Caenorhabditis elegans: one gene and its partners. The protein of the gene in region 1 purifies or fractionates together with the protein of each later gene. This does not show direct contact. Each region holds a gene or a part of one and is shown in the gene's direction. Other genes may lie near its edges.

The links.
Region 2: the proteins of szy-20 (region 1) and let-92 purify together in Caenorhabditis elegans (affinity purification with western blotting, with the first as the bait; one study listed by BioGRID). This does not show direct contact.
Region 3: the proteins of szy-20 (region 1) and atx-2 purify together in Caenorhabditis elegans (affinity purification with western blotting; one study listed by BioGRID). This does not show direct contact.
Region 4: the proteins of szy-20 (region 1) and kin-3 purify together in Caenorhabditis elegans (affinity purification with western blotting; one study listed by BioGRID). This does not show direct contact.

The regions. Positions count from the first base shown.
Region 1 is NC_003280.10:8,966,152-8,970,985, reverse strand, and holds szy-20 (SUZ domain-containing protein), read left to right. Parts: upstream 1-1,658; 5' UTR 1,659-1,692; coding exon 1,693-1,708; intron 1,709-1,750; coding exon 1,751-1,827; intron 1,828-1,880; coding exon 1,881-1,966; intron 1,967-2,022; coding exon 2,023-2,470; intron 2,471-2,550; coding exon 2,551-2,859; intron 2,860-2,979; coding exon 2,980-3,593; intron 3,594-3,647; coding exon 3,648-3,789; 3' UTR 3,790-4,065; downstream 4,066-4,834. Other genes in the region: C18E9.5 (uncharacterized protein), read right to left, coding at 29-150, 198-282, 760-820, 867-898; sec-62 (Translocation protein SEC62), read right to left, coding at 4,332-4,397, 4,447-4,769, 4,814-4,834. UniProt on the Caenorhabditis elegans protein: RNA binding protein that is required for normal cell division and cytokinesis during embryonic development.
Region 2 is NC_003282.8:11,856,721-11,861,375, forward strand, and holds let-92 (Serine/threonine-protein phosphatase 2A catalytic subunit), read left to right. Parts: upstream 1-1,721; 5' UTR 1,722-1,725; coding exon 1,726-1,854; intron 1,855-1,900; coding exon 1,901-2,110; intron 2,111-2,164; coding exon 2,165-2,227; intron 2,228-2,272; coding exon 2,273-2,461; intron 2,462-2,565; coding exon 2,566-2,739; intron 2,740-2,792; coding exon 2,793-2,984; 3' UTR 2,985-3,740; downstream 3,741-4,655. Other genes in the region: mob-1 (Mob1/phocein), read left to right, coding at 3,838-3,961, 4,297-4,423.
Region 3 is NC_003281.10:10,459,546-10,467,541, forward strand, and holds atx-2 (Sm domain-containing protein), read left to right. Parts: upstream 1-1,843; coding exon 1,844-2,179; intron 2,180-2,227; coding exon 2,228-2,519; intron 2,520-2,642; coding exon 2,643-2,904; intron 2,905-3,223; coding exon 3,224-3,397; intron 3,398-3,451; coding exon 3,452-3,687; intron 3,688-4,910; coding exon 4,911-5,270; intron 5,271-5,323; coding exon 5,324-5,545; intron 5,546-5,780; coding exon 5,781-6,190; intron 6,191-6,327; coding exon 6,328-6,642; intron 6,643-6,749; coding exon 6,750-7,041; intron 7,042-7,496; coding exon 7,497-7,709; intron 7,710-7,758; coding exon of another isoform or gene 7,759-7,766; coding exon 7,767-7,867; downstream 7,868-7,996. Other genes in the region: ecps-1 (Proteasome component Ecm29 N-terminal domain-containing protein), read right to left, coding at 1-88, 225-368, 415-539, 594-704, 763-884, 933-1,005.
Region 4 is NC_003279.8:10,731,768-10,737,265, forward strand, and holds kin-3 (Casein kinase II subunit alpha), read left to right. Parts: upstream 1-2,254; 5' UTR 2,255-2,271; coding exon 2,272-2,310; intron 2,311-2,375; exon of another isoform or gene 2,376-2,489; intron 2,490-2,553; coding exon 2,554-2,724; intron 2,725-2,783; coding exon 2,784-2,911; intron 2,912-2,960; coding exon 2,961-3,045; intron 3,046-3,104; coding exon 3,105-3,401; intron 3,402-3,858; coding exon 3,859-3,983; intron 3,984-4,038; coding exon 4,039-4,120; intron 4,121-4,317; coding exon 4,318-4,473; 3' UTR 4,474-4,848; downstream 4,849-5,498. Other genes in the region: rpn-10 (26S proteasome non-ATPase regulatory subunit 4), read right to left, coding at 1-87, 407-547, 599-624; mrpl-9 (Large ribosomal subunit protein bL9m), read right to left, coding at 871-1,026, 1,074-1,397, 1,446-1,570, 1,621-1,786, 1,832-1,891; nfs-1 (cysteine desulfurase), read left to right, coding at 4,982-5,050. UniProt on the Caenorhabditis elegans protein: Casein kinases are operationally defined by their preferential utilization of acidic proteins such as caseins as substrates. The alpha chain contains the catalytic site. May participate in Wnt signaling.

The DNA.
Region 1 (4,834 bases):
AGAATATCAAGTTAATAATTAGACCTACATCATAATCATTAATAGATCCTGTCCTATTCGACCACGTCAATGTTCCATTGTCACAGTGTTGACTGACATCATAGGAGAAGAAAGTTGAGTTTATAGCGGCTGGGTGTACATACTCCTCTGCTAAAAATACACTTTTAGAATTGATTTTTGTGTTTTTTTGTGCATACATGTGATTACAGAGTATATGATGCATCCAGATGCAAAACCAATGAACACAAGTCCCAGAATAATTTTGATAACTATGGCACTCCACTGAAAGTTTTTACAATTAAACAGATCCTAATGAATCAGAAATTCTTCATAATATATGAATTCTAGTTGTTTCAAGTAGCGTTCGAATGTACAAGCCTGAATAGCTTTTGTGGTTATTCGAAAGCATTTGAATTTCGCTGACGACATATCGTAACTTCGTAAAAAAGTGAAATATTGTTTTAAAGGCGCACGTCGTATCTCTTATTGGGTCCCGCCACGATCTCAGTTGTGCTCGTCGTTACAGGTGCTAACTTGGACAAAATTGTTCATCAGAAATTGAAGTTTGACATTTTCAGGAACGTCATCTCATTCTGGATATTCAATTTTGTGTAAATTTTAGAAACTAAAAAATATTACTGTGTATTTGCACAAAGTAAACAGGAAAATGTTCCAAATAATCTTTTAGTCATTTTCAAATCAAGTAACTACTAGCAAAATCGTGTCATAATGTCTCAAAAAAATTATAATTAAACTCACATCAACAATTTCAGATCTATCAATAATAGATACATTATCCCCATAATCAAAATCATCGATTCTGGAATTAATAAAAAATCCTCCAAATATGAAATCTTAAAACTTACATTCGATGCTCTTTCTCTGAAACGCTCGACATGATACTTTAATGCGCTTCCGTCCAACAAGACAAACGAAAGAGGCTGTGGTCGATTTTCAGTCGGAAATTGATTGAGAGCGAGAATGTGTGTTATCAGTTTGAAATAATGCGGCACGCTTGCCATCTTCCACGAGTCATCCTCTTATCTAATTATAGAATAAATTGCAAATGCGAAAAGAATTATTGCTGATCGGGATGAATTGTTTCAAAGAAAATGCTGGGCACTGAAAGGTCAAAATCCTGTACCGATTTAAATGTAGTAAAATATTTTTTTTTTGAAAATATGAACTCAAAACCTGATTACAGTTGTTCAAAATTGCTTTTTTCGTTTCAAAAATCAATTTCTGTGCCTATAACCTTAGTGGGCGTTTAAAACAGACCATGCGCCTTTAATCAAGAGTACTGTAACCACGCCCACGAAACCGTGCCTCGAGTGATGTTTTGCAACCTGCGCACGGTTTCAAATTTCATTTTTCATGCAGAAATTTTTAAAGATTTTTCGTTTCACGAATGTTAATTTTTAAAATATATTTTTCCCAAACAATTGACAAATTCTGTCGTCTAAAAAAATCTAAATTTGAATTTCCCTCGTTTTACACATTAAAAAAGACGTCATGAACGAGTCTTTGCGCACTTCCCGATTTCTTCTTGCGCTCTCCGCGTGCACTCTCCACCGAAAACGGACCCGTCTTGCTCCGTCGCGAGCACCACTCATTTTGCCGCCCGTTCTCTTTTCATTGATCCATATTTTTTGTTTTACAGCCACACACATTTCCTCTGTTTCTAATTGCGTTATGAGTAAAGAAAATGGTAAGTTAAATGTTCCTAATCATATTTTTAATATTTGCAAAGTTTCTCTAGTTGTCGCCGATAGCTGGGATGATGCAGATGCGGATCCAGTCAAGGAATTAATGGATAAGGTTGAGAAGGTTTGTTCTAAAGTTTATAAAGTTATTTGAAATGTAATTTATATTGATTTTAGGTAAAACTTCTTCAGCGGAAGGAAGAAAAGAAGGAAGCATTTTTTGAGAAAGTAAAAGCAGAAGAGAGTAGCGGTGTCGTTTCGAAGTAAGTTGATATTTAACCGATTAATCGTTTTGCAAATCAAATTTTTATTTTTTCAGACTCCAGACAGAAGAAGGTCTCGGACCATCAGCTGAAGAGCCTAAACGAGTGTTCCTTCGGCGCCCTAAAGATGGTTTTGCTGCATCTGAAAATGTCATCGAAGCATCGCCACCAACATCTGCAGATACAGAAGAACAGCCAGTGACAAACGTCCGATCTCGCTCTCACCACAAATTAAATCAAAAGGAAAAACAACCTGCTCCTACTTATGAGGAACGACAAGCTGCATACCAAGCAGCTCGTAACAGAATTTTGGGAACCGAGTACAAACCCGATAATCAGGAAATCAAAGAAATCAAGTTTATTGATCGCTCCAAATCACCTGAAACTCTCAAAATGACTCAACAAAACATGGTAGAGCACTATGGAGAGGAATTGAGCCGCGAATTAATGGAGCAGCCAGCTGAAATTGTCCCTCCTGAACGGCAATATACTCCAGATTTTACGGTTAGTTTATAAAAACAGTAGCAGGGAATTTAACTCAGTTTTCGTCCTAACCTGTATTACTTTCCTAACCCGATCTAAAGCTTCAGCAGCCACCACCATCGGTATCGGAGAGCGGCGGAGTTTACAATGGACCGCCTGGGTTTCAACAGAAGCAACCAAATTTCCAGCCAACGTTACAACAACAATCGCTTCATCAACAACAGTATTTGGATAATCAGTATATGATGCAGATGAACGTACAAATTCCGATACAGTATCATAATCAGACCCAACATCAGTTTGTTCCGCATGAAGCCTCAGCTATTTCCACAACATCACAAAACAGCAACGGTGATGGTCAAAATGATCAAGCGATATATTATTATCAGGCGCCTACCCAACAGCCAATGGTTTGTTTTTTTGTTGTTGTGATTGTAACCACTCCTTTCTAATTGAATGATTTATTTGGTTAATACCATAAAAATATGACAAAATAATGGACGATTCAAATAACCTATTAATAGTTTCAGAACTACATTCCGTACAATCTACCAAACATGGCCTACCCACCTCCAAACTTCCAACCCCAAGGACAACTGCACCATCAAATGAATGCAGGACAACTACACCAAATTCAACAACAACAGCAACAATGCCAACAGATTCAACATCAACCGCCTCAGCAACACCAACAGGTTATAAATGGCCAAGTGATGAATCAACAGAACCAAAGAAATCAGGTGAATAGTTATCCACAGCAGAATGGTGCTGGTCGTGGACAGAATCGACAGCCGATGATGTATCAGATGCCATGCAACAGTGGGCCGACAGCAAAGCCCCCGCCGTTGATGAATCAAATGCAGAATAGATGTATGACCAACAATGGTCAAAACTATCAGAATAGGAATATGCAGCAGCAAGGTCAGCAGCGATCATATTCGTCACAGCCTCAGAATGGTCAGTTCTACCAAAACGGAAATTCCAACCAGAACAATCCGAATAATGGTAGAAAACAGCAGCATCAGCCACAGCAGCAGCAGAACAAATCAGGAAAATTCGGACAGAATAGAAATGATATGCAAAAGAACAATTATCAACCAAATCTACAGCAACCTCCGATGAGTCAAAATCCAATTCCATTTGGGTGAGTTTCAATTACTTGGCTCATTTTAAAATATTGTTAACATTCTTTTTGCAGATGCCCACCACGTAATGTGAATGCGATTCGAGAACAACACGCAAACAATGGATCCCCAAACACTGGCGCTGGAATTCTTGGACCACATCCAATGATGTCTGCATCCCAATGGCCAGCGTTGCAGCAGAATCGGCCTCAATAGTTTGTTATTCCATTCTACGAACACTCTATAGACAATTCATGCTTTAACCACGTCTTTTTGATGTGCTGTGATGGTCATCTTTTCACATTTATCTCCCTTTTCTTGTTCCATCAGTCCGATTCGGAATTGTGTTAATCAACACGGGTCGTACTTCCTCTTTCTCCCCCCATCTCCACATATTTATATCATTATTTTCTACATTCATTTTGGCATGTTTCAAGTTATTCAATTTTCTATTGTTATATGAGCCAAGTTTGATGAAGAAATTATCTTGTTTGACTTTTGTATAGACCAATTTATTATATGTCCAATAGTGGACCGAAACGGAAACATTCAGATTTTAGTTATGCAAGAACAATGAAGAGTGACTGAGAAAGAAGAAACTAGCCAAGAGGGTAATCACAGTATGGAAGAATGGGACGAAAAATAGTATTTAAAATGTGACGAAACCGACAGGATGAGGGTAATGCAATAGATTTTCAGGACAAGTTTTCATAAATGCAGAAATGTGGAATGGAAAAATTTCAGGATAAACTAAATTTCTAGACTTTAGCTGGACGACGTTTTCGAGGAGCATCGTCACTTGGTGATGGTGGAGCAGAGATTTCCTAAATTTCAAAATTATAATTATTTAAATTGAAACACTTATCAGATTACCTCGTCTTCAATTTTTTCATAATTATCATCAGTTGATGCCTGACTATTTTTTTCAGCATCATCGTCTTCTTCCTCTTTTTGCTCCTGTTCAGCAGCAATGTGGTCTTGCTCCTCCTCTTCTGCATCAGAATCCTTTTCTTTTTTCGACTTTTTATCTTTCTTATCTTTCTTAGCTTCTTTCTTCTCATCACCAACATACTCATAAGTATACCATGGTTGGAATGATTCAAGAACTCCACAGTCTTCAGTCAAGTTCGGCAGAACCCAGAGTTTGTGTTTTCCGAAAGTAACAGCGTAGATAATTCCGAAAAGAATAGTACGGACTGAAAATAATCGAAAAATGAATATTATTGTTGAAACAACTCACGTATAGCAGTGACAATGATAG
Region 2 (4,655 bases), on another chromosome or scaffold:
GATGCTGAAAATCTCCGGTTTCAATCATATTGTTTACTAGATTCAGTTACTGGAGCCGTTAGTAACAAACTATTGTCATTCCGCTAGATCGTATTCCTACTTTTAATTTGAATTATAATTAGCTCACCAGTTTTTTTTTCTGTCTGAAGTTTTCGGTCTTTTTCAACAATGATTTTGTTACATAATAATTTAAAAAATCGGACATCATTAACCTTCGTTAGTTGCCAATCGATAGTTTCATCTTCTAAAACATACCGTTTTTTCTGAAATTTCGCATAAATGAGTCATCATGATTCTGCTGGGTTATGAAATGTATTTTTCTAGAAATATTCTACCTCGAACATTTTTTTCAGTACGCCCCTCTATCATAACTTGGCCGTCCCTAGCACGTCACCAGAGCTCTAAATCCTCGCCTTTTCACACCTCCTTTCTGCACACAACGCCTCTGCTGTCGTCGTTGTCGCCTTCAGCGATAACGCCAATAAACGAAAACATCGGTTCAGGAAGAGGACTTCTTCACTTCTCTCCGTCTTGTTAACAACAGACAGTGAGGGTGTTCAGTAGAGCGCAGTGAACCGCGACGCGAGCCCTTGCGATGCGGTCGCTCTTTCCTCTGCCTTATATCTTTTCTTTTTCATCTCTTTCTCCGTCACTTTCGCAATGCGATTGGTTCCTCGGCTGGTTATAGCACAGGAGTGCCGCTGCTCCTTCGCTATCTGTCGTCTGATCCTCCGTCACTGCCCAATTGGCGGGCCCCGCATCTCTCTGCAGCCCTGCTTTCTCCGCCTCGCTCTCCTCACAAAACAACAATTTTGTCGTACTCGATCATCCCGCGTTCTCTATCATTTTGATGTCTTCCACTAATGTTAAATTCATTTATTCCGTTCTCACGTGTTCCCATTACAATTGGCTTTTGCCCATTGAATATTGATTATGATTCACCGAAAATAAGGCAAAAAAAACACAGTTTTATGATTTTTTTTTTCATTTGAAGAGTTTCAGTTACATAATTAGGTTTTTTACCGTATCAACGTTTGCCTAACAATTAAAATATTTTAATTCTCGTTAGAACATAGATTGACCCCTATTGTGAAACATAATTAACAACATTTGTTCTTTGCCTTATCGGAACGGAATGAAATTCCGTATGGTTTGGTGGGAGGTAGAAACGCAAACAGCGAGTTATCGATTTCCTCTTTTTCCTATGAATATTTTTCAGCGCGTGATTGTTGTTCATCTTTCACTTCTTCGTCTAAAATTGAGAATGGACACTTTTTGACACTAGTAACTAATCCGGTCTGGCATTTAGTAACATTGAAAAATAATCCATAAAAACTACACATTTTATTTCTATGTTCTTGTTTTCTTTTCTTAACCTGTTCACGATTGATTTTCCGTCTTTTTTAAAACTTGTGCTTTACATCATTTCATTAACTGTCTCTCCTCCAATTGTGACGTTTTCTTTTTCGTTATAAGATGCTGTTGGAGCAAGGGGCACTTAATCCCTTTTGTCTTGCAATCCTATCAGTTTATACGGAAAGAAGAATCCGCTGAAAAGTATTGACTGTGAGGCAACAGCGTGAGTTTCTGCTCTTCACGCTTTCTCCGACTCGTGCTCCGTTGCTATAGCTGCCCACGTTGTCTTTCTTCTTTCTCTATGCGTTCTTATCATTCAAACTTTTTTATACTTCTAATTTCTTGACCAACAAATAAGTTTTCAGTAGTATGGCTGCTGCCCCACCATCTGCGGATCCGCTTGATAAAGCACTAATCGTCGATGTAGATCAGTGGATTGAGCAGTTATACGAATGTAAACCACTATCGGAGAATCAAGTCAAAACGTTATGCGAAAAGGTTTGTTGATACAGTTTTGTGATTGTCAAAAATTAATTTTTTTAAGGCGAAAGAGATCTTGGAAAAAGAGCCGAATGTGCAAGAAGTCCGGTGCCCTGTGACAGTGTGTGGTGACGTTCACGGTCAATTCCACGATCTGATGGAGCTGTTCAAAATGGGTGGAAAGAGTCCTGACACGAATTACCTTTTCATGGGAGACTACGTCGACCGGGGGTATTATTCCGTCGAAACAGTTAGTCTGCTTGTCTGTTTGAAGGTACAGTTATCACAATATAGTATGGAAATTATTATAACATCTTTAAAAATTCAGATTCGATACAAGGATCGAGTAACACTGCTCCGCGGAAATCACGAGTCGCGACAAATCACTCAGGTAATTAAAATCAATTTATTTCAAAAATTATTATTTTCTTGTTAGGTCTACGGGTTCTATGACGAGTGTTTGAGGAAATATGGAAACTCGAATGTGTGGAAGTACTTCACTGATCTCTTCGACTGTTTCCCACTTACCGCTCTTGTTGATGGTCAAATCTTCTGCCTTCACGGAGGTCTTTCACCGTCTATTGATACTCTTGATCACATCAGAGCTCTTGACCGCATTCAAGAGGTAAGTTATTGTGGAAATCTACCTTTAATAGTTACTAGCCTGAAATATTTCAATAATAGAAAAGTTCTAACATTTTCATCACCGAAAATCATATATTTTTAAAGGTTCCACACGAAGGACCAATGTGCGATCTTCTCTGGTCTGATCCAGATGACAGAGGTGGCTGGGGAATCTCTCCACGTGGAGCAGGATACACATTCGGTCAGGATATCTCGGAGACGTTCAACCATTCCAATGGACTTACTCTAATTTCTCGGGCCCATCAACTTGTCATGGAGGTGAGAAATTATTTCAAATCGATATAATTTTGCAATGATATAAATATGTTTAGGGATACAACTGGAGTCACGATCGTAACGTGGTAACAGTGTTCTCAGCACCAAACTACTGCTATCGTTGTGGAAATCAGGCAGCGATGGTGGAGCTGGACGACGATCTCAAATATTCGTTCTTGCAATTCGACCCTGCCCCTCGAAGAGGAGAACCACATGTTACTCGCAGAACGCCTGACTACTTCCTGTAGATAGATACCTCCGTTCAAATCGCCGTTTTCATTTTCTTTTTTTTCCGTATTATCCCCCTTACCCAATTAATTTCAATACTTTCTCTCACTTTTCCTCTTTTTCATCGTTTCAGTCATTATATAGAATATCGTTGTTTTTGTATCGTTGCCCAACACCATCCTATTTGACAATCCCATCTCTTCTGAAGTTGCTCGAAATGATTGTTGTGTTCTTCATCTATCTTTTTTGTTCCATTCTCTTGTCCTCTACCAAAATTTAGGCGATCAAACCGTGCTTCTCTTCTCAAATGATGCGATGATAGGGATGAAAATTTCATTGTTCATGTAAATTAATGTGGTGGGAAGAGTTTGGCGGAATCATTAGCCATTACTGAAAAAATATCTCCGACATCTCGTGTCAACCTTAGCACTCGGTTCTCTTCCTTCACTCAATGAAGCAATCAATATTCTTTTCAGTCATCCCCGTGTGAGAAAAGTTGCGATCTTCTCCGCGCACGCGCTGTACGGCGTTCGCTTCCAACATTTCTTTACTCTTTTTCTTTTCCTTCCATATTCTTACACTATTTTCCCCTCCATCCCATCCTTTTCACCACTTCCCGTCTTCCTTGTTTCTTATGATTATTATCACAAAATGCGAATGGACAACATCTCTCCCTTTTCCACTATTTTATTCCCCCATTTTGTTTAATTATAATATTATTTTTGCCCCATCAACATTTTGTTTATCATCAATGATCAATAAACTGTGTCCACATCAAAGTTTTGAATTTTCGATTGCAATGTAGAAAGCATAAAACAATACTTGTCTTGGTGAAAGAAAAAACTTTAAATCGAATTATTTTGGTTCCAGAAAATGAGTGAACCAAGTTCATCATGGTGCAATCCAATGGCAGTTTCAACGTTAGGAAGTGGAAATCTTCGTGACGCTCTGAAACTTCCACCAGGGGAAGATAAAAATGAATGGCTCGCCGTAAATAGTAAGTTTTTGCTAAAAAAAACTTTGACATTTTTTTGCACAGCTTGGTAATAATAATTTGTAATAAAACAAAAAATAATTTATAATAAAACAAAAACTGCTAATTGTGATTTTTTTCGAGTTGATCCAATTTTCTCAAAAAATACAAAAAATTGGATAAATTTCCTACAGTAATCTTAAAGGCGCGTACACGAAAACAAATAAACACTGACGCGCGGCGAGACTATTTCTCAATTTTGGTTCTCCCTTTAAAAAAGCGGAAACATACAGTTTCTATAAGTTTTCTTTTTTAATTTTATTTTTGAAAAATTCCAAAAAAAAAGCGCATTTTTTCAGTAATCGATCTGGTAAATCAAGTTCGAATGGTTTTCGGAGTTCTCTGCGAATCCGAATGTACCGATTCAAAGTGTCCATCGATGACAGCACATGGAAGACAATATACTTGGACCAGTGAAGGAACATTGTAAGCTTTTCTAAGTTTTTCCGTAATTCTTGGTTATCAAAATTCAATATTTTGAAAATTCTTAAAATTGCAGAAAACCGTTTCAGTATACATAATCTAACTGTAAAACGTATATAATTGTTTAAAATTTGCTCGGTTTTTTTTTTCAATTTTGCAGCAAAAAATATATATAGTGCACTTTTTCTCAAATTCTATGACTTTGAAGCAACATATTTGACGCGCAAAATATCTC
Region 3 (7,996 bases), on another chromosome or scaffold:
TTGAACAAATTCGTTGATGCTCAGCGCTGGGAGCTCAGGAGCCGACGATGCTGTGGGAAGCTTCTCGACGAGCACTTTGATGTCCTCACTGAAATAAAATATTAGAGTTAAAGCAGGCAAAGTTCGTGAAGATTTCGGCATGAAATATTGTAAAATTAACAAAATGCTAGGCATGTTTCAGATTAAAACCAGGAAATTCGCTTCTGAAAACTGAAATTACGTACATGCTTCGTGCAGAGAACACGAGAATCGCCTGAAAGCATCTGGCAATGATTTCCACGTCGACAGAGCTCATCTCGATCGTCGGCCAGTGTTTTTTCTCGATTCTCGCGAGCTCGTGGAGTCCCGGCAGGCACAACGAGAGAATGCTGGAAAAAATTATATAGAAAATATAAATAGTTCTACTTTACTTACTCGTAAATGTAATTGAGATCATTGGGCTTCTTGCTGAACGATGTCAAGTATACAGGCAGAAACTCTAGCTGCTCGGCGGCCTGGATCCGGTCTTTTGCCATTTTGAGATAGATCAGACTGAAATTCTGGAAAAAATATTAATTTTTTGGGTTATACATCGTCTGGAGAACGCTACAAACCGATGAAATGGCACTCGGGCCTTGGAAAAGTTCGAGCAGACGTGGCACTGGGAGACGGATCGCCAAATTGCTCTTGACGACTTTGTTGAAGTGTGTGAGAAATTCGGTGACCTGGAATCACGAATTTTAGTCATTTTGAATCAAATTTCAGCGAATTTTTGCGTCTTACCAGCTGAATGTGCTCCTGCTTTCTCCCGGCAAACTCCAACACATCGCACAAGTGCCGATCTGTGATAGTTTGTAGCTTGGCGTCCGAGTTGGCGTTGACGAGCCGCAGGAAGACTCTTTCCACTGAAAATTTCAAGTTCATTATGTAAATTAGAAGCTAGACTAGCTTACCATCATTTGCTGAGTCGAGAGACGTCAGCGAAGCTGATTCTCTGGGAGCATCGACTTCCATTGGGCTTTCCATGCTGAAAATACTAAATATTTAGCGTTTTACGAAGAAATTAACGTCGAAAAATGAAGAAATTACACTGAAATTGCTAAAAATTGTTCAAAACAATACGAGAAACTCGGTTTTTCCGCAAAAAGTAAAATGTTCTTGAATTTATTCCAAAATGTCATCAAAAATATTTTTATTTTCAGTCTGCGTCTCTCTTCATCGTGTCAATGGGGCGAACTTGACAAGAGACGTCACAGAACCTTTCTCTACAGAAATTTGAGTCTTGAAAAAAAGACCGAAAAACAGGGGAAATTTTTAAATATTTTTGATGAGCGATAAATTTTAAATTGAGAATTAGTTTTGTTTATTTCAAATTGTATTATCGACAAAGTGTATTGGAAGATAGCGCAGGGAAAGAATTTCTCCGAGTGGGAGTTTCCCCAAAATCTGTGGTGTCAAACAGATAAATATTTCCCAATCGCGAAATTTTGCACGAGAAATGTGGTACCCGGCAAGATAATTTTTTGTCAAATGAAAAAAGTGTGTGCTCCTATGAAGAAATGTCCTATCTTTCTTTTAAGAACAAAATCTGAATTTTGTCAGACCTAATTCAATAAATTGCGGATAAACTTTTTGATTTGGGGAAAATGCTTTTATTCATTGCCCAAAAACTCAACTGTTGAGGCGAAATGTTCATGTTTTACCACTTTCCTTGGAAAAAATCCACTAATTCCCACTATATCGACTTTCCTGAAAACCCCACTGTGTAAAATGCGCGCGGCACACTTGCGAAACCCTGTGCGGCGCACTTGCATAGGGCGGAGTCTCAGGCAATCCCGACGGAAATCGGCGCGTCATTTACCGCATGTGCGTGTCCTCCGCTGTCTGCGTGCTCTCTCGTCTCTCTCTCGAACGTTTTTCAAATTTTTCCGCGAATTTTGTGGATAATTTTCTTCTTGTGGCTCGTTTTGCACGTGGTGAAACCTTGAAAAACGGGATTGTGTTGGAAATTTCAAAAATTTGCCCAAAACTGTTACTCATATTAAACTTCCATTATCGTTGCGAAATTGCTGTTTTTAAAATTCAAATTTTTTCCATTTTCAGGTACATTTCTCCTGTACCCAAACTCTTTGACTGCTCCACAGACAATCTTCTATTTATTTATATTTTATTTGCATCCAAAGTGCGAATGAAAGAAATGGTAAGCGCTGGCAACTTGAAAATTTCTTTAAAAATACAATTTTTCCAGTCAACACCAACGGGTCTTCCTGCGCTAAATGGCGATGTGTTGAGCGCCATCAATGATATGATCGGACGTGTAATTATCATTAATACTACGGACAAAAAGCGATATTCTGGGGTGCTGGGCGCCGTGTCTCAGGATTTCGATTTCGGGATGCAGTGCGTCGTGGAAATTACGAAGGAGAACGAGAATAACTTGCTGAGAACAGAGTCGGAATGCAGAGACAAGATGGTATTTCACTATAGTGATATTGTCGATTTTGCGTACGTTACGCAAGAGATCAAGAAGCAGCATGCTGGTAAGAGCTGTTTCAGGGAACTTTTTCATTAAAAAAAATGCATGACATCTTTAATTTTGGGCCAAGTCGGGTTCACAGTTACGATTTTTAATCCGAAAAAGCTGAAAAACTCTCCATTTTCAGTCAGCAAATTCGTCACCGATAGACAATACCACGGAGATACTCCAATCGAGGGCGAAGAGCTTCAGGAATGGAACGGAGGTGAGGAGGACGGACTCGGAGGATCCATTGAGGACGACGTCGTCGTTGCTGGTGGACAAACCGCCGCTCGTCGCAGCAACAATCACAACAACGGCACCGGATGGTCGGTCAACGACATGTTCGCCGCCAACGAGAAGATGAACGTGGTGTCGACGTTCAAAGAGGATTTAACGCAATACACAACGTAATTTATTTGAATTTTTTCGCTTGAAAAATCCAGGATTTTCGGAGTCTGCAAGCGTTTTTGGGCATCTGAATCTATTTTTTTCAGTTTTGCCTTGAAAAAATCTTGTCACTGAACCATTTTTGCAAAATTTTGCATAAAAATGTCCTGAAAGTTGATAATTGACAATTTTCAGGTTATTTTTAAGCATTTTTTCGAATATTTCTACCGAAATCAGTGTTATTCTCTGATGGATCAAGTGCTTTCCTATATTTTGACCCGATTTTTTAATTTTAATTTTGGAAAACATCGTGCAAAGCAATAAAATCCCAAATTTCAGCGTCGAAGTGGTAGGAACCGACGAAGATCGAGCACGCGCCGAGCGGCTCGCTAGAGAAATTGAGTCCAACTCGTCGTCGAAGTTTATGGCGAACTTGGAGAACGACGACGACGAGCGAGATTTGGACAAAATCACGCGTCAAGAGGATTTCGAGAATGGCAATGGCCGAAAGCGGTTGGAATTCTTTAAAAATTTGAATTTATTAATTTAAAAATTTATTTGTTTCAGCAATAATAACAGCTTCAACCAGCAACAACAACAGCGCCGCAATCCGAATATTGCACCAAACGGGCAGCCAGTGAATCGACGTGCCGAGGGTCTTCGCGGAGATCGTCGTAATAGTGGAAGCTCTTCAGCGAACAATAGTCGCTACGGTGCTCCAGCAGCGGCTCAGCAGAACTATTCACAGAATCAGCAGCAGCAGCAAGGTCAAAAAGGTTATCGCCGCCAGAACGAGGAAAATGGTTCGTGTACATTCCCGAGAGTACAGTGTGTCTCTTTGATCATTATCTCTCTCTCGTTCTCTTTCTCCGCGTCCAACAGTTCTTTTTTCGGTGTATTCCGTTTTCTTGACCCATTTCGCATGACATAATTTCGCTAGCGGCTGCAGCGGTTGTCTTCAGCTGATTAATTGGAGTGTTTTTCCTCGTGGGATGCGGAAAAAAGCGATTTTTTTTTTGCAAATTTTCAGCAAAAAAATCAGATTTTTCCCATCAGAAAACCAATTTTTCATTCTTTCCTCACATTTTGATCACAGAAATACGAAATAATTCTGCAATAGTGTTATTTTCAGTGGAAAAATCGTTTTTTTTTCCGATTTTTGACTGAAAAACGTTTTCTTTGTGTCAGAAAAAACAAGTAAATGCCGATTTTTAAGTGAAAACGCCGAAAAAAAAAATTGAAAAAATGACCGAACGGGTCCCAGTTTATCCATACAAACACACCTGCGTCTCTGATACATGCTTTCATCAAGTCTCTCTCTCTACCTCTGTCTACCTCTCTCTCTCTGTCCGCTTCCTCACCGCTTATCATCTTCATCATCATCATCACAAGTTGGTTGTGTTCTTCTCGAAAAACCGTGTTGTCTATGTTGTGTACCAATCGATCGTTAGGGAGGCGCCACACTTTCTCTCTCTCTCTCATTCCTTTCCGCTCTCTTTTTTCTCGGTGATTTTTTGTTGTTGTGTGTGTGTCTGAATGATGATGAAACATGCGATCGTTCATACCTTTTTTGCCTCCTTTGCAGCTTCACCAGTCCTCAGATCCTTCTAGATAATGGAAATTCCACAGTTTTCGAAGTTTTTAGTGTCTTTTAAAAGAAATCTTGATTTAAATTCCTCTTGAAAATCTGTCAGAATCAGATCAAGAGCATTTTGGTATAGCGTTAAAATACTGTAACCGGTCTCGACACGACATATTTGTGTTTAATGGTATGCACCTTTAAAGAGTACTGTATTTTCAAACTCTTTTTGCTGCGAAATTTCTGTTTTTTCATAGTTTCATATGAATATTCCACAGCAACAAGAGTTTGAAATATTTTTTCAAGGCGCCCACCCTTTTGCATTAAACAAGCTTGTCGTGCCGAGACCGGGTAACGTATTTTTGGTAAAAATTCGATTTTTGATTCCTTAGAAAACAATTTCCGTCGTTTTTGTTTAAACAATGACTCATTCTACTTAATTTTCAGACTGGCAGATGGCCAAGGGGAAGGGCCAGAACCAGGGCCACGACCACTCGTTCCGTCAACAGCAGAAGCAGATGCTGGATCCGAGACCCAACAACAATGTGAAGCCGGCTGACGATAAAGCTCAATCTGCCACCACTGCCACTGCTGCTGCCGGTGGATCCCGTGTGACAGATCTCAAGAACTGGGGCAACGAGTTTTCGATTGCGACGGCTCCAAAGGATCAGGCTCCGGCGGTGCCAGCTGGAAACTCGGGTAGTGCCTGGAATCGCGGACCACCGAGCTCGCTGGTTGCCAAGGGATCATCAAATGAGTCGACTCCACCACCGACAACCAATGGAGAGGAGGCTGAGACTAAAAAAGGTATCTATTTTCTATTTTTCTCAACAAAAATGAACAATTTTGCCAATTTCCAGAAGAAGCTCCATCCACAAGCGTCGATGTGGCAGCTGCACCAGTGCAAAACGTACAGAACGACGCGGAAAAGCATCAGGAAGACGACAATGTTTCCGTTACTTCAGAGAATGATTCAGTGATCACTTCGAAGTCATCGTCGTTCAAATTCAACATCAATGCTCCAGAGTTCAAGCCACGTGTGGCTCCGGCGACTCCAACAGCGACGACTCCAGTGCAAAATGGTAGGAAAACGAACAAAACGGCTTTTTTTCAGTATTTTTGTATCAAAAATTAATACAGAAATGTATGTAGAAAAAAGATAATTTTTGTTGAAAGGTTTGAGAAAGATCTCAAATTGTGTCATTTGAGAGGGAATTTTTAAACCAAAATAAATATTTTTCTAAATACACATAGGTATCAATTTTTGATACAAAAATTTTGGCTGCCAAGACGGAGTTTTAACTCTAAAATTTTCAGAATATCATCCACAACAACAGCCACATCCAGCAATGATGGCTCCACAACAAGGACCACCTGCTCCTGGAATGGGAATGGTTCCACCACACATGGGCGGCCCACAAAATCAAGGTCAACCACCGATGATGATGTGGCAACAGACTGGACAACAGCAACAAGGCGGTGGCGGCTATCCACAGAATCATCAATTCCCAATTCAACATGTCCCAATGCAAGGTGTTCCTGGACAGATGTATGGCCCGGGAGCTGCGACTCCGGTCACTGTTGCTCAGCAGCCAAATCAGCAGCATCAGGTGCCAACCAGTGCGGCTGGTGGTCAGAATCATCAGTTGAGAGATGGAGAGTATCGTGAGAAGCAGCCACTCTACATGCCATATGGACCGCCACAAATGGTTCCAGTCACATCTCAGGTAACCGAAAATTTGGAATATCCCTGTAGAAATAGGGAAAACATTTATTTTTAAAGGCCTTGAATTTTTAGAATTTTAAACTTTTCCTAATCTAAAATTCCTGATTTCTCAATTCCAAAAATTCTAAATTTTTTCAGCAATTCTATCATTCACAGTACCAAGGCCAGATGCAGCAAGCTGCTCCATACCAAATGAAGATGATGCCACAGCAAGCTCCACAGGGTGCCTATCAACAGAGATATCAGCAGCCACAAGTGTACATGATGCCTCCACAGGGTCAGCAGCAGCAGCCGAGATACCAGGGTCCTCCACCACCACAGCAACAGCAACAGCAACAACCGCAGCAACAACAATTCTCCGGAGAGCAAAGTCGCCCACAATCACATCCGAATAGTCAGCCAACGACTCCGGGACCACGTGGCGAGTTGCCAAAGATGAGCGGTGCTCCACAGGTGAGATTTCTTTTTTTTTAAACTTATTCGCATGTTTCCCTCTTTCAAACTTTCTGTGCCTAATAAGATGAAGCTTTTCAATATTGTGACCGTGACTCTATTTTCAGAACGGAAACATGCAGGCCGAGTCGAGCAGCAACGCTAGTCACAGCGGATCGACGAGCTCTCAGTCGGGACAACGAAGCGGATCTCCACCAGGTGCTGTTCCTCCACCACCACCACCACAGCAGCAGCATCAGCAACAACAACATCCACCACATCATGCTCCTCCACACGTCGGAGCACCACCACCACAGATGATGCAGCAGCAGCAGCAACACATTCAACAGTATATGGTGATGCAGGGACCGCATCAAATGCATCCGCAGATCCCTAATTACTATCAGCAGCCTCAGGCATGTTTAATCTCTCTCTTTCTTTCCTTTTTTCAGTGGTATTTTTGATTTTTGGTTTTCTTGTTTTTTTTCCTTTCTTTCAGAAGTTTCAGAACAAAATTGTGATTGACTCTGCTAAATTTTTGTAGATCTGCAAGTTCTACAGCTGAAATCGCCCAGTGAAAAAGGAGAAAAAATTGCCTAATGTTTTTTTTCATACTTTTTTTCTTAAAAATAGCGAGAAAGTTTCGATTCCGACTGTAGAACTTGAATGTGCCCAAATCAACGAAAAATTGGCAAATTTTAGCTGAGATCTCCTATTTCGGCAATTTTTCTGGATAGATTTTTTTTTTGAATTGAATTTTGAGATTTTATTTAAAATTACCATTTTTTGAGAAATATTTGAAAATGTCTCACACTCTATAAAAGAACAAAACCGAGAAAAAAACGTAAATCTAATTTTCAATCATTTTCAGCAAGTATTCTATCCGATGATAATGCCCCAACAGATGCCAATGCAACAGAACCAACATCCTCAACAAAGTCTTATGGGCGAGCGATCTGATCAAGGATTCCCGACGTCGGGATACTTTGACTACCGTACAATGCCAAACTATCAGCAACAACAACAACAGCAACAGCAACAAATGCACCGCCAGAATTCGCTTCCACAGCAGTTCCAAGGCAATCAAGGTAATGTTTTAAATGTTTATAAAGTTCAAATTTCTAACCGTTTATGAAGCTTTGAAGGTGTAAATCCATCTGGTCAACAATCTGGTCCACCACCACCGCCACCACCGTCTCAACAAGGCACACCACGTGATCAGCAGCACTCTCAGAGCCCCCCGTAATCATATCTATATGCGCTCTTCCTGCGCTTTTCAGTGCTTTATATAATGTTTCCCCAATATATATTCATTTTAATATTCTTATTTTCTTCCTTCTCTTCCTTCTTTTCATCAAAAATCCGCTTCTCCCCC
Region 4 (5,498 bases), on another chromosome or scaffold:
TTGCATTTTCCGAATGGCTCAATGGAATGATTCTTCATCATCAAACGTCCTTGTTCTGTGGACAGACTTGACAATACTTGAACACTGCTGAAAAGGAAAACATTGAAAAATTTCATGTGTTACCGGAAATCAGTGATTTTTGCGCCAAAAAACGGTACTGGGTCTCGACAGGACATTTTTCGCTAAATACAAACGGATGTGCACCTTTAAAGAATACTGTAACTTCAAACGTTGTTACTGAATTTTCATCGATTTTCCAATGAAAATTCTAGAACGGCGAAAGTTTGAAACTACCGTACTCCTCAAAGGGGCACACCTTTTTGCATTTAACAAAATATCTTCGTGTCGAGACCAGGTACCGTCATTTTAGCGCAAAAAAACGTTCGAGTTTGAGTAATATACGAACTTTGCCATTGACAGAATTCCAACAGCATTCTCCGGATTGGCACGCAACTTGCATTGTGTAACAAGATTTACTGCATCCTGTTGAGATTGGAGCCGAGTTGGTTGGAAATCTCCGTTGCGCATGTATTCCGAATTGTCGACACTGAAAAGTAAATAATATTGCCATTGTTCGTATTATTCAAGAAAAACTCACCAAATCATAGTACTTTCTTGAACCATTTTGGAAATGTGTTGAGCACCTTTGTATGAACTCTGTAGAATGTGAGAAATAAAATTAAATTTAAAACAGTTTGACGAATAAATGAAGGAAGATATTAAACGGTGATTAAACCGTGAGCAAATAAATTAAAAATTATTTGAAGAATCAAATACAAATAAAATCGATTTTTTTCAAACAACAAAACAAGAATAACAAAAATAAAGAATTGAAACACATTAAATCTAGTCTGATTGATTATTAGAATTCTAATGTGGAGTTGTTGGTGCATGCTCTTTCATGTGCTCGAAAATTGGGAAATCTTCCGTGAAATCGTTATTTTTACTGTACAATGGGAACTCTTTTCGGATGGAATATCGAGCCAATTCCTCGTCACGTGGTGTTGTCAGTGTAGGAGAAATCATCTGAAAAAGGGAAATTCAATAATTTTCTACAACTTTTCAATCTTTACCTGTTTGGATTCATCTACTGAAATATGTGTAATCCTTCCTAACATAGGAACAATGTATTGTTGATTTACAACAACGTAGAATCGGAATAGTTTTGCTTCGATATCAAAATTCGGGCCAGAAATTGGTTTAGCGGCGAGGAAAATTGTATTTTCAGCAACGAAAACTCCCATTTGACGAAGTGAGCTTTTTACAAGATTCCTATCAATCGTCCATTGATTTTCCATATTAACTTTGATTGGAATGACCATTTTTTGCAAATCTCGTCCAACCACTTTGAGCTCATATGGAATTCTGATTCGAGAAGCAAGTTCTTCAGCCATTCGCTGAAATTATTATTTGATTGAAAAATATAAATTAACATTAAAACCCACTGTTTTCATATCTGAATAGTACTTTAAATCAAACGGCGACGCGTAGACGGCTTTTTTAGATAATAGTAAATCCTTTCGGGCCAAAGTCCGATCCACACTAACCACATCGAACTGATGGCCAATTCCTGTAAAAATGAATTTTTTACATTTGCTTTCTTTTATTTTAAAAAACTACCTTCAACATCTTGAAGTAAAATCACATTAATCGGACCAGCGGATTTTTGTGTTTCGAACTCAACAACTTCGTATTTCTGGTAATCGTGGAAATCATTGGGATTTTTCTGTACTCCGCCGGGCGGTGTGACTTCTGGTTGGAATACTCGGCGCAATACCCATGTGTTCTGAAGAAAAACATAAAATAACTTATTAATTGCTTCAGAACTTACTCGGCTTGCCTGGCGATTAATATGTTGCACAAATCGATGAAGCTGTGAAGCTGAAAGCATAATTACCTGAAAATATCAATTTTAATTAAGTGTTTCGCTGAAAATAAAGTGATTTCATTCTAAAATACAGAAATAGATGAGAAAAGAAAATGCGCGCCGTTGTCGATGATGACAAATTTAAAGGCACACCGACTTTCGCAGCGGGAATATCTCACCACGCACGAGTTCACATTTGGTTTTTTCTCTGCGCTCTCTCGCATTTGCGTACTCTTTTCATGTTCTGGCATGTATTTTCAAAATTATTCGGGTTTTATCAGTTTTCCCGAGATTTTACTATTTCTACTGAAAATTTCGTTCTAATAATTCAATTATAACAGCCGTTTTGTCAAAACTTGCTCAAAAATAACGTGTTACTTGTTTCAGATCGTTATTCTTGGGAAATGCCTCCGATTCCTAGCCGGGCGAGGGTCTACGCCGAGGTGAGCAAGTTTGTATAGCCAGGAGTTAATTATTGAACAGAATATATTGCTCATACATAACTCACAATGACGGAATTAACGTTATCCGTTTAGTTGTGGAATACTGTGAAACACTGTACGCCACATTTGTTAGATTTTATAAATGTTCATAGGAATTTATAGTCTCGTAAAGAAAAACTATTTGTAAAAGTCACTAAATTATGTTTTTATGAGTTTATATATTATAAATCACAATTGTTTCAGGTGAATCCGTCGAGACCACGCGAGTACTGGGACTATGAGGCTCACATGATCGAATGGGGACAAATCGATGATTATCAGCTGGTACGCAAGTTGGGACGTGGAAAATATTCGGAGGTTTTTGAAGGATTCAAGATGAGCACTGACGAGAAAGTTGTTGTCAAGATTCTCAAGGTAAGTTTTACAAAAATAATTGTAATAAAGCTTTCAAAATGTAATTTGTTTGTTTTCAGCCAGTCAAAAAGAAGAAGATCAAGCGTGAGATTAAAATTTTGGAGAATCTTCGTGGCGGGACAAACATCATCACCCTCCTCGACGTCGTCAAGGATCCTATTTCGAGAACTCCGGCTCTTATTTTCGAGTTGGTTTACTATTTGAAGATTTTTAGAATTAATAATTTCTATTTGAAGGCATGTTAACAATTCGGACTTCAAGCAATTGTATCAAACCCTCAGTGACTATGATATCCGTTACTACCTCTACGAGCTCTTGAAGGTACTTTTTTCAGCTGTCCATTAATTTTTGAATTCATAACGTTTCAATTTATTCTCCAGGCTCTCGACTTCTGCCATTCTCAAGGAATTATGCACAGAGATGTTAAGCCGCACAATGTGATGATTGACGCCGAAAAACGGGAACTTCGATTAATAGATTGGGGATTAGCCGAATTCTATCATCCAAGACAGGACTATAATGTTCGTGTTGCTTCTAGATATTTCAAGGGACCCGAGCTTCTTGTCGATTATCAATGTTACGATTATTCGTTGGATATGTGGAGTTTGGGATGCATGTTGGCTAGTATGATCTTCAGGAAGGAACCATTCTTCCACGGCCATGATAACTACGATCAGGTAAGCACTTTAAGCTGAAGTAGCAAAGAACCGCAAATCCACAAATTTCATTAAAATCCAATATTGGAATATAGAAAACATTTGATTTATCTGATTATGGCTTTTATTTCAGTGAGAACAATGGGGAAAAACGCTTAAAAAATTACCGGAAAGTTTAAAATTTCCGAAAAAAACCGAAAATTTTCCAATTTTGAGCATTTTTCAATTGTTCCAGCTGCAAAAAACTATTTTCAGATAAAGAAATTATTTTTTTGAATTCCATAGCTAAAATTTTACTGATAAGTTTGGCTTATTCCGTAGAATTTCTTGCCGGCGATTGATTCGCACCCCTGAGCTGAAATTTAAATGAATAAATAATATTGTCAGGTATTTATTAAATATTCATCAATAATTTTTATGATTTTTAATATTTTATAAATTCACGAAATCTGATTTTCTTATAAAAAGTTTTTTGCAGCTAGTCCGCATTGCAAAGGTATTGGGAACTGATGAGCTTTACGAGTACATTGCGAGATATCACATTGATCTCGATCCACGCTTCAACGATATTCTCGGGCGACACTCAAGAAAACGCTGGGAAAGGTATATTTTGATCGAAGCGAAGTTTCATGTTTTTCTTAAAATTCATTTGTTGTAGATTTATCCACGCTGAAAATCAACATCTTGTCACCCCAGAGGCTCTTGATTTCCTTGATAAACTTCTTCGCTACGATCACGCGGTAAGAATCGGAAAAAAGAGAAATTACACCAAATTAGTTACTGAAAACCAGTTTTAACAAGAACACAGAGAAATAAAAACAATTTTCACTTGTTTTATTGAAAAAAAAGACATTTGATACTCGAAACTAACTATAAATACTTTTATTTGTTAAATTAATTTATTTCCAGAACTTTTAATAAATTTCACCATATTCAGGAACGCCTAACTGCTCAAGAGGCCATGGGTCACGAATACTTCCGCCCAGTTGTTGAAGCACATGCTCGTGCCAATGGAACTGAACAAGCTGACGGACAGGGTGCATCGAATTCCGCTTCTTCTCAATCCTCCGATGCCAAAATTGACGGCGCTTAAAATTTCTTTCTATTTTTTTTTTAATTTTCCTGTTGACTATTTCCTTTTTTATTAATTTCCACACCACTCCTCTCCATCATTATTCCTTTGCTCTAAAAATTGGCTAAGATATTAAATCTTCCCCGCTTCTCCGAAAATTTCCCTCTACGTACCACAAAAGTGCCTAATCTTTTCGTGAGAAACGTTCTTTGCAAATTCTATTTTTAGGATTTTTTTGTGTAATTCATGCCTCTGAAATTCCGTTTCAATTTTAAATCTTTTTTGTCCCATTTCATATTGTTCTCCTTCTTCTCCCCTTTCCTCTTCCTCAAACAACCACAATCATCATTTTTATAAATCGAATCACAGTTCGTGAGAAAAAAAACTGTTACTTGTAATCAATATTGTCTTTGGTTTGAAAAACCTACTATTGTTCCTATGTTGAGTTGTGAACTATGTTCACTTTTAGAGTTTTAGATTTAAAATGCTCAACGGACGAGTGCTCCTTCGATCGATTGCTCGCCGGACAATGGCATCGAAAATTGAGCCAGGATCTCCGCAGCCGATTTATTTGGATGTTCAGGCTACCGCGCCAATGGTAATTAAATGGAAATAATAAAGCATGATTAAAAATAATATAAAAAACTTGTATCTGGAAAAAATTAACGAAACTTTTCAGATACAATTTAGATTTCGAATGAGTTTTTTTCTAACCTAGGCACAGTTTAAGCTAGTAGGCATTCTAAAATTGCGGCTTATGGCCTAAAAAGGGCCTAAGCGAACAAAACCAGCAATAAATTATGATAATTATATGAAAACTGATTTACGACAGCGCTGCGACACTGAAAATATGACATTTTACAATACTTTGAACCCATATAATATTTTTTTTTTTATTTTTCATAAATTTTCAGAACATTTCATTGCGAAATTCAGTAGTTTGAGACCATTTTTGGTATTTAAAAAACCAATTTCTCAGTTTTCGGTTCTCTAAATGTGACTAAATTATTTTATTTCCAATTTAAGTGAAATCGTAGCTTAAGAAA